Linked DNA regions of Mus musculus. The protein of the gene in region 1 purifies or fractionates together with the protein of each later gene. This does not show direct contact. Links are inferred from orthologs where the notes say so. Each region holds a gene or a part of one and is shown in the gene's direction. Other genes may lie near its edges.

Region 1 (3,654 bases):
CTTAAAGGCACGGCCTACCATACCTGCTAAAGACTCAGCATTGCTTGATGCGTGGTAGTGTTTGCCAGCATGTATGTATGTTCCATTTGTGTGACTGATGTCCGTACAAGTCAGAAGAGGACAGCATCCTCTGGAATGGTTCTCTGGTTTTGTGGATGCTGGGAACTGAACCTGGCTCTTCTTCGAGAGCAGACAATGCTGTTAAATCTCTGAACCTTATTAACCTGCTGAGCCATCTTCCTAGCCATATCTGTTATTTCCAAAGGAATGCCTTCGTGTAGCAGGGTTTCTTTTATGTTTTTCTCTTTAATCGCAAAGTCTTAGATGATAACCAGTCCTAACTTCTATGTACTGCAGTTTTTCTCGGTGTATATGCTGGCCTGCTGGCTTATTGTTAGGTATTAGGTATTAACAGCATGCAAATCCAGCAGTTTTAGATGGCTTACTTGATAAGTGGCAAGTAGGCAGGATTGGAGCTTTGTCACAAGCTGACTGACTGACAATTCCCTCTGATAGGATGATGATGCTGAGGCGATACTGGCTGCAGACTTTGAAATTGGTCACTTTTTACGTGAGCGCATAATCCCAAGATCAGTGCTGTACTTCACTGGAGAGGCTATCGAGGACGATGACGATGATGTGAGTGCATTTAAGTCCTGCAGTGGAGCCTTTTGTCGGGTGCCACAGTCAGAATTGGGAAGAGGCTAGGTTGGCTGTAGTAGGACATACAGGGCTCATGGTGCCGCTAAGCCCTTGGACAGCTTTTCGCTTTTCTCAGCAAATTTGAAGAAGACTTCTTTAGGATAGTTTCATTTAAAGTTGGGTTTTGTTTTTCTGTTAGAAGAATGATTCTGAATTACTAAAACGTGGTTACCTTTATGTTTAGTTTATTTTGATGTCATTGTCATGAAACAACCAGAACTCTTATGTTCATGGCAGCATTTATACGGGTAATACAGAGTCTGCAAAGAAAGGGTAGGGAGATGTTGTAGCCTGTAGCTGGCACAGAGCTTGGTAACTGAGAGCACTGAGAGCATTTCTGCTCAGGTCTTTGTAATACATTTTAGTGTTCAGATGGTGGGTGTTAATAATCTGTGCTTGCTGACTTTTTCTCACTCACACTTTCACTTGTCTTTTCAGTATGATGAAGAAGGTGAAGAAGCTGACGAGGTAATGTTTACCAAATGAGCAAATAATTCACTGTATAACACATTGAGGAACAAAAATGAGTGATTAATGTATTCCTTATAATCATTCTGTGATTTGGGATAAATTTTGGAAACTATGATTTTAGAATTCTACAGCCAAACAATGTATGTATAAGGTTTCAATAAATAAATTGCAAAACTCAGCAACATTTTTTTTTTTTATTTCAAATAATTTTGTTCTGCTGCAGGGTTATCAGCTCTTTGAAGAAGTCAAAAGCTGCAGTAAACTTTTCCAACGTTGGCTGCAGTAAATCTTTTCAATAAAAGCTGTCTGGATGTCTCAAGTTGTGTTGGGAAATTTTTCATATTAGAAGCTTTGAAATTAAATTGTATTATCAACAAACTCTGTAATCATGAAAATCTGTTGACCCATAGAGTAACTTGTATAAAATTTCCATACATTATGAGCCAATTTTTCTAGTATGTACCTACTTCATGGATGCATTTTGAACTTTAATATAGGAAGGGGAAGAAGAAGGAGATGAGGAAAACGATCCAGACTATGACCCAAAGGTGAGCAGAACTGTGCTGGCCTCCCTCTGCCTCACACTAGAGTAGGCGTAGATGAGACAGATCCTCTCTTTACTTGCTCTTATTTGGGATTTGACCTTTTTAAAGAATTAAACCTGTTGCTTAGATTGTTTTCCACACAAAGGAAAGTTGTAATTAATTAGCTAAAACAAGTCTGGAGGCAGAAATGCTTTGAACTTTGGATTCTCCAACGACTATTAAAATTATTTGATTCCTAAAGGTCCCAGTTTATAATTCTTGGAATTTTAGGGTTAGTAAAACATTGTCTCTTCAAAGTTTGTAATAATCTCCAGGATTCATTCGAAACCTAAAATTTCCTTTATTTTGTTCATCTACCATTTGCTGTAAAACACTGGGAAGATACTTTAAGCATGTAGAAGGGAAGTTCAGAGTAAGCTATTTTGATAGATATGAATTAATTAGTGTCACTATAATCAGTGGTTGTTTTGAGGTTATAGGCTATCCCAGGAAGTAATGCTTCATTAATGTACACTTCAGTGACTTTGAGCATTAGTTTGTCACTATCCTGTATTTTCTGCCTTCACTGTAATTTTTTTTACAAGATATTATGATAACTAAAGTACTTGTGTAAAAAATGCATCACAGTCGGTAGAAGATAGATTGACGTGTTGTTTTCCTTTAACAGAAGGATCAGAACCCAGCCGAGTGCAAGCAGCAGTGAGCAGTGACTGGCCTTGAGGACGGCCGCCCTGTAATAGCCTAAACATGACTCATTTACTTACAGCCTTATGGTTTTGTATTTTCTTGGTAGAATCAGTAAGTTTTTAAGGGAAAGGAGATTGATATTTGAAAGACGAGTTTGTTCTACCTAGCACCCTAGCTCTAGCTCTGTCAGATACGTTAATGCATACATCCTCTCTAATGCATGTTCATTTATTGCTGCAGTTTGGTTCTTCTGGAGTATTTTCATCATTTAGCTATTGGAATACAATTATGAAAACCAACTGTTGAACATACTTGGAGTAGCTGTTTCTTTCCTAAAGAACCAAAGTTGTTTTCAGCTAATAGAACAGGTTGAAGTCCGCCTGCATTAGCTGTGTTTTCCCTCATCTTGTTAGAGGGATGCACAGGGCACGGTGACATCATTTCCCTCATGTTGTTAGAGGGATGCACAGGGCACGGTGACATCATTTGAGGGAGGAAAATTGTCGTTAAGAATTTCCAGTAAGATCAAACTTAATAACTGAGATTATGAAAGCATTTTTATGTTTTCGATGATATAAACAAAAGTCAACTCGTTTATAGCAAGGTGAACAAACCCTAGGTTCTCTTGAAGTTGATAGTATTTAATGTATTTTGAAAATTAACCTCCATTAATTAAATCTTTTCTTTGTGGTAGGGCCTACCTTCTGCTTTCCTGGAAAAGATGAATATACATCATATGAACCTATTTTGAGTTTTTCTGTTGTTTGTTTGCCTAATTTTGTTTTTATAGCCTAAAATAAAAATATGACACAGTTTTAGCTCTCATGGGATGCTGTCTCGGTTTGTACTGATTGAGGCTATTGCAGAGGGTTAGTTGGAATTCAGGGGTGCCTAGTTTTCTATATTGAACAACGCTGGAGGAGCTAATACACACGTGCTTTAAAAAAAGTGATATGCTCTAGTTTGAGCAGAAAGGTACAGTTGTGCTTGTTAGAACTGAAACCTTTGTTTGGACTTTGTTTATTCTGTCCTCAGGAGGATGAGGAGTGTCGGGAGCCATGCTGTTTATTTACTGTGCATAACCAAGAATGGGTGGGACTGTTGATTCAACTACCTCAACTCTGTTAAGGCATATTGGGGTATATCTCACAAACTCTCAGTCTTACTTGCAAAATGCTCAAAAAATTGGGCCTCTATACCATGAGTGTGATATTCAGCATTATATTCACACCAAGCTTTGATGATTAAA
Region 2 (3,941 bases), on another chromosome or scaffold:
AAAAAAGAACAAGGCAGGAGGGGGGAGTAAAACAAACTAAAGGACTCAGAAGTACGTTAAAAAGGTATTTTGTATATTTCACTTTCTTTCATCAGAGGGACAAAAGTATTTGTTTTTAATACAGTAATTTTACTTTAAAAATATTCAGTGCTTACTCCATGTCAGCACTAAATGGTTTACATACAATTAAGTTAATACACGTAAGAAGTAAAAGAGAGAAATTTCTTATGAAATTCATATGCATAAAACTCTGGCAAGACCCACCACAGAGAAAGACAGATCTAAATAGGTAATGAATGTATCCTCTAGGAACCACTTAAAAGTTGTGCCCTGCTCTTTATTCTAGAAGCTCTAAGGAGGCAGGAAGGACCTGGAGTTCACATAGTTTAAAGCTAGACTGGACCAGCTAAATAAATAAATAAATAGATAGATAAACAAAACAAATAACTCTCTAATTCTGGCTTATATGGGGAAAAAAATAAAAGATCACTTCATTATTAGAAAACAAGACTTTGATGTTTATGGTCTTTTCCAAAGCTCTCACATACAAATTACAAGCAGATTCAAACAACAGATGGTTAACTGTGAAGTGTTTGGTGACAAATGACTGTAGAAGCATCTGTGGGTCCCTAAGGAAGTGTAGGATCAAACACGCATTTCAAGATGTATTAAAATGACCTCTTTTCCCCAGCCTTTATGGGCATGTTTAATCTGCTAACTGGAAGCAGTGTGCCTCCACCCAAAAACTGAATTGGGCCCTACACATCTATACATGACAGCATCTTTTCACAATGTCACACGGTTGGACACTTCTAGGGCTTTGCATTTCTTCTGTTCACCCTCACTTTATTTCTTTTCAGAGGCAATTGTGTGAAACCTACTAGAATGCTCACAGCGCAGAAATTTGCCACACAAACACTTACAGAATCAATGCCAAGGTCCCTCCCGGAACAATTTGCCACGAGGATATAGGTTTAACAGAGATGTCTAACTGTGCTCTAAGAGCCAAAGATGGTCTGCGCAGATACAGGCACGCACTGTGGGTCTGCAAAGGTGAAGGAAAATGGTTCTCCTGCATTTCTGTTCTCTGAAAGTGAATTTAAGACGCAGTCAGGCTTGGAAATGTACCCATAACCAAGGCTTACCAACATTAGCTATGGCGCACTTTCAACAAAGATTGTCAGGTGCATTGCGGATTTGGAGAACTAAGATGGGAGGGGGAGCACACAGTAAACAGATTGGGGGGGGGGGGTGTATAAACAGGTATGGAAAAATACAGTCTCAGCCTCGAGCTGGTTCCAGCCAGTTCTGCAGGGGTGGGGGCGGATGCTGAGGGCTGGGTGTCTAAGTGGCAGGTTTTAGAGACCTCGGAGATAGCAGCATAGCAACAATTTGGTGCAGTGTGTGCGCACAACCATCAGCTGATAGTGAGCAGCCATTCACTTGCCGCGAGCCGCGAAGCGGCCGCGCGGACGTCACCACAGCCGTCAGCGTTTGCCGCATCTTCAGACGCACTCTGGACCAGCCGCAATCACAGCTGCAGGACCTCTCTGGACCAGCTCTATTGCAGACTGCGCAACCACCAGACCACTGCGGCAAACAAGCCCAGCTGAGCCGAGCAGTAGCCATGGCCGACCCCGAGAAGCAGGGACCCGCTGAGAGCCGCGCCGAGGACGAGGTAATGGAAGGCGCCCAGGGTGGCGAAGATGCCGCGACCGGTGACAGTGCCGCTGCTCCCGCGGCCGAGGAGCCCCAGGCCCCCGCGGAGAACGCGCCCAAGCCCAAAAAAGACTTTATGGAGAGCTTGCCCAATTCCGTGAAATGCCGGGTTCTGGCGCTCAAAAAGCTGCAGAAGCGCTGCGATAAGATCGAGGCCAAGTTTGACAAGGAATTCCAGGCTCTGGAGAAGAAGTACAACGATATCTACAAGCCCCTGCTCGCCAAGATCCAGGAGCTCACCGGAGAGATGGAGGGCTGCGCGTGGACCCTGGAGGGAGAGGATGATGAAGATGACGAGGAAGAGGACGACGAGGAGGAGGAGGAGGAAGAAGAGGCTGCAGCTGGCGCAACTGGGGGTCCCAACTTCGCCAAGAAGTGAGCACAGCAAGCTGACAGGTGATAAATCCCCTGCCCCTTTTATTTCCAATGTCGGCAGACTTTAAAAGGCTCAGGATTTGCCCAAAATAAAATGTGAATCTATTCTGACATTCCTAAAATTAAATTGAATCAAGTAGATTCTGGCTAGCCCGTTTCTAATCTGACTTTTATTTGTGTAAAACAGATGCTAAAAGACGTTTTTTAGAAAAAAAAAAAAGCCTAATTAAACTTTTTTTTTTCTCCCTGCTCTTCTGTGAGAACTGGACTTGAGACTGTTGAAAGGTTGTCAGTTAGATGGGAATTAAAAGTGCGTCACACGTTGAAATCCATTCATCACACTACACCAGAACATCCAAGCTAAGACAGAACTCTTCTCAATGCTTAATTCTTCAGTTTCTTTACATTTTCCAGCGCAGAGGAAAAGGAACCCAGGAACGACGTCATCTTTAAGACTTTTGCTTTTGCAAACCCAGACATCAGCTTTACACTCCAGAGGAGCCTTGGCATGGAGCAAGCCTGGACTGACAGCATTTACTGATTATGTGGCTAGGAAAACTGCCATTTCAAGTTGTGAAAAAATGTTTTAAATATTTGCATTTACAGAAAGAACATGGTTTCAAAAATGAGGGTGTATTCCATGTATAATATTGTCAACACGTGTTCATCTGTTATGGTCCCGTGTTACCTGTTTTCTTGGTAGTGTTTGTTTACAAAATCGTAAAAAATTACCCCAAATGTTTTAAAGTGTTAAATTACCTTATAGCATTTTAGAAATATAATTTACTTGAAGAGATGTAGAATGTAGCAATTCTGTAAAGCATGTGTATCCAGTGTTGCCTAGTTTGACCTTTGTGAAGTCTTTTTGTCTTGTAGCTTTTAGCAAGTAGCTGTGAAAACCATCAGAACTCCTCAATGAAGCTAATGTTTGGAAAAAGTATATACTTGAAGAACAAACCCAAGTGTGTACCCCCAACCCCAGCTCAGAAATAGAAAGGGTTTAAGTTTGCTTGTATTAGCTGTGCCTTCATTATTTTGCTATGTAAATGTGACTTAATAAATGGTGCAAAATTAAATTTTATTGCTTGAGGACAGACGGGCATAAAGGAAGGGAAAAGACATTTAATGTAAAGGCCTCTAGCTTCTTTGTGGGTTTTGAGTTGTCTGTGAACCAATGTTCTGTAAAGAAACACAAACTTAAAGTTGTTTACCACTGTGGTGTTAACAAAACAGTATTTTCAAAAATAAAAAAATCCTTGTTATTCTGACTACCTGTACTGTCATCTATAAAAGTGGGTGGGAACAATCCCTTCCTCGCAGTTATTATGAAGAGAAAGTGAGTAACTACGCTTACAGCCCACACAGCAGCGTCTGACACCTAGGAATAATTTCCAGCTATTATTGTTTTAATAAAGACAAAAGACCCAGATAGAAAATTCAACTCCCTCCCCTGCTACACAACAGAAAATGGTAGCATTATTAATTTCTAACTTGGTGATTCCTTGTTATCAGAAAAGAATATGGCTTGTAATTTAGAAATATAGGACATTCAAAAACTATCTTGTTTTAGTTTCCTCCATATAAAGCCAAGTTTTAATTTCCTCTTAGACAAGGTAAGATTTTAATGTGACAATATGAATGCACACACACACATGCACAAACAAACCAAAAAATAATCAGACGCCATTCTTTTCCATTTGCTGCAAGGGTTAATCACACTGCAGCAAAATCTGATGACGTTGGGGAAGGGGGGCAGTGCTAACCTGTTGCTAATGACAACAGATGGCTCTGAACAACACTAAGGTAGTGGTAATCTTCCTTGCGGCAAGACCAATACAACTGAAGGT
Region 3 (2,866 bases), on another chromosome or scaffold:
AGCCTCAGGCCTTATTTCTGACTTGTTCCTGATCCACTCAGGGAGGAAATTCCCAACTGGTAGTCAGTGATAAGCCCATGACTCAGGATGGCTAGTGTCCAGTGAGGCAGAGTCTTACTACAAGGGCAGGGTTGTGGGGATGTATCCTAGAAGAGACAGCGTTGGGTGTGCTTTCCAGAAGAGACTGAGTTAAGAGAAAGAGCCACCTGCACCACTTGCTGATATTGACCTTCCCCTCTTTCGATGCAGGGGAAACACCCGGATGGAGAAGAGGATGGCAACAGTGACCAGAGTCAGGCTTCAGAAGCCACAGGTGGTCGAAGGGTCTCAAAGGCCCTAATGGCCTCCATGGCTCGCAGAGCTTCAAGGGGACCCATAGCCTTTTGGGCCCGCAGGGCATCAAGGACTCGGTTGGCTGCCTGGGCTCGGAGAGCTTTGCTCTCCCTGAGGTCACCTAGAGCTCGCAGAGGCAAGGCCCGAAGAAGAGCTGCGAAGCTACAGTCATCCCAGGAACCTGAGGCACCCCCACCCAGAGATGTGGCCCTTTTACAAGGAAGGGTATGGACTCCACCCTCTACGTCTCACCTTTTCAATTGTGTTGCCTGATGTCTTCTCTGTTGTGCTTTGGAGTTTTCTGTGTTTTGTTTTTTTTTGTTTTGGTCTTTTCATCATTTTTCTTTCTCCTAGGCAAATGACTTGGTGAAGTACCTGTTGGCTAAAGACCAGACAAAGATTCCCATCAGACGCTCAGGTAGAGTCCTACAAACACGTGCTCTCTCCTGAGCTCTGCCTTCTCTTGTCTTCTCACCAGTGTGCTGGGGACAGCCTTCATTCTCACGCGCCTGTCCCTTTTCACAAAGTTCTCCTAACAGTGGGATCTCTATTGAAAAGCCCCCCCACAACTTGGTTCTGCCACCCATGGCTTGGACAACAAAGGGTCTGTTGATTGGGCATCAGGGTTACCTGGTATCTCTACAGCACAGATGCTTGCAACACTCTCATTTGCAGATATGCTGAAGGACATCATCAAAGAATATACTGATGTATACCCTGAAATCATTGAACGAGCAGGCTATTCCTTGGAGAAGGTGAAGGGACAGCCCTGGGGGATGGGTGCACTGGGGAAGCTTTAAACAGAAGAAAGGCATATGAGCACCCTCCTGGAGGAAAGCAGAGACCTACTGCATCCTCATCACTGTAGAGTTGAGCACATGGTGGCCTAGGGAGGGGCAGCCACTGACCACACAGCAAGTCAGCTGTGGAAACACAGCTAGTGCTAAAGCTGTGCAGCTTAGTCCTGGCTTCTGCCTGCTGCTGGATACACCATCTCATGTGTTGCAGATGCTCACCCCTCTGTCTCCCTAAATTCCCCCTGATTACAAAGATGCTATGGATAACCACCCTATGTTTGTTATGTGTATAAATAGCACATAACTATGTGCTTTATATACAATAGTCCATTACTTTCTTTCACACACAGACACACACAGACACACACACACACACACACACACACACACACACACACAAACACACACATTCACATGTGCAGAAAACCCTTAGCTATAAAAGAAACTACAGAAGCCCTGGAAGCTGAATTTTATGATTTTATAAGTTTTTCTTCCTATCCATAGGTATTTGGAATCCAATTGAAAGAAATTGACAAGAATGACCACTTGTATATTCTTCTCAGTACCTTAGAGCCAACTGATGCAGGCATATTGGGAACGTAAGCCGGGAAAGTGCTAGGGTGGGAATGGGCCTCTGCTTCCACCCATCCATCCCTCTCTCCATGGCCTATTAGAAGCTCAGGAAAGAAGGACTAAACACCCCTGTCCCCACTCCCACACACGCTGGATCCCTGTGGGTAGTAGTGGTATTAGACTTGCTTGGGTTGACAGGCATCCTTCCATGTCCTAACCCTATGTAGGAGTAGCATTTTGGTGTGTAGAGAGCTTGGCTCAAGAGGGAATGCATCCTGCCTTAGGTCAGGCTGGGACCATAGAGTAGGCTGAATTCTCTGTATCTGAGGGATCTAGGAGAGGGCAGCCTAGCAAGCTGCTTTACAGATGATGGCTCATGAACGTAAACTTTCTTTATCTTAGGACCAAGGACTCACCTAAGCTGGGCCTCCTCATGGTGCTTCTTAGCATCATCTTCATGAATGGAAATCGGTCCAGTGAGGGTGAGTGGATGGGCATGCAGTTGAATAGGTAGCTGTTGCCTGAATTCCAGATGCTCAATTTCTGTCTTTGTCTCCTTCTTGCCTCCTCTTGCAGCTGTCATCTGGGAGGTGCTGCGCAAGTTGGGGCTGCGCCCTGGGTATGATTGGGCTCTCTCAGCGCTTGCTGTCCGTGTTGTCTTTTGGCAAGAGAGGACGCTCCCAGGATTGCATCAGCCTGGTGGTCTGGTGGAGCTGGGGGTGGGGATTCTGGGCTGGGTAGTGGGCCCAAGATTTTGACCCGTGTGGATGGGGAAATGGCTCTTGTCTCTGCTCACTCTCTCAACCATCTCTTGAGCTTCCATGGAGCTTTCTCTGTGCTGTAAATCTCTTTTCTGTCTTGGAATTAAATGCCTCTGCCATCATCTGGGAAGTGTACCAGATCTGATTATATTTATTTGTTTATTTGAGCTTTCTATATTCCCAGGATTCATCACTCACTCTTTGGAGATGTGAAGAAACTCATTACTGATGAGTTTGTGAAGCAGAAGTAAGTGTCGTTGTCTGCTGTTGGACTCTACCTTGCATTTTGTCTATTTTGATAATGGACGTGCCCCAAGCATATGTTTGCATGGGTGCATGTGTATAGGCCAGTGGCAGGTTCTTTCTGGGTGCAGTCATAGATTTCTGTTTCATACGTGGTTT

What was found.
Region 2: the proteins of Nap1l1 (region 1) and Nap1l5 purify together in Homo sapiens (affinity purification with mass spectrometry; 3 studies listed by BioGRID and IntAct, counting the BioPlex papers as one, with this or other methods). This does not show direct contact. The link is inferred for Mus musculus from reciprocal best matches to the Homo sapiens genes NAP1L1 and NAP1L5.
Region 3: the proteins of Nap1l1 (region 1) and Maged2 purify together in Homo sapiens (affinity purification with mass spectrometry; 4 studies listed by BioGRID and IntAct, counting the BioPlex papers as one, with this or other methods). This does not show direct contact. The link is inferred for Mus musculus from reciprocal best matches to the Homo sapiens genes NAP1L1 and MAGED2.

Annotation. Positions count from the first base shown.
Region 1 is NC_000076.6:111,493,655-111,497,308, forward strand, and holds part of Nap1l1 (nucleosome assembly protein 1-like 1), read left to right. Parts: intron 1-516; coding exon 517-639; intron 640-1,140; coding exon 1,141-1,170; intron 1,171-1,396; exon of another isoform or gene 1,397-1,670; coding exon 1,671-1,721; intron 1,722-2,385; coding exon 2,386-2,421; 3' UTR 2,422-2,451; exon of another isoform or gene 2,452-3,099; 3' UTR 3,100-3,654. UniProt on the Homo sapiens protein: Histone chaperone that plays a role in the nuclear import of H2A-H2B and nucleosome assembly.
Region 2 is NC_000072.6:58,904,654-58,908,594, reverse strand, and holds Nap1l5 (nucleosome assembly protein 1-like 5), read left to right. Parts: upstream 1-1,468; 5' UTR 1,469-1,627; coding exon 1,628-2,098; 3' UTR 2,099-3,362; downstream 3,363-3,941.
Region 3 is NC_000086.7:150,808,566-150,811,431, reverse strand, and holds part of Maged2 (melanoma-associated antigen D2), read left to right. Parts: intron 1-249; coding exon 250-558; intron 559-687; coding exon 688-751; intron 752-1,008; coding exon 1,009-1,088; intron 1,089-1,634; coding exon 1,635-1,729; intron 1,730-2,105; coding exon 2,106-2,185; intron 2,186-2,279; coding exon 2,280-2,322; intron 2,323-2,648; coding exon 2,649-2,711; intron 2,712-2,866. UniProt on the Homo sapiens protein: Regulates the expression, localization to the plasma membrane and function of the sodium chloride cotransporters SLC12A1 and SLC12A3, two key components of salt reabsorption in the distal renal tubule.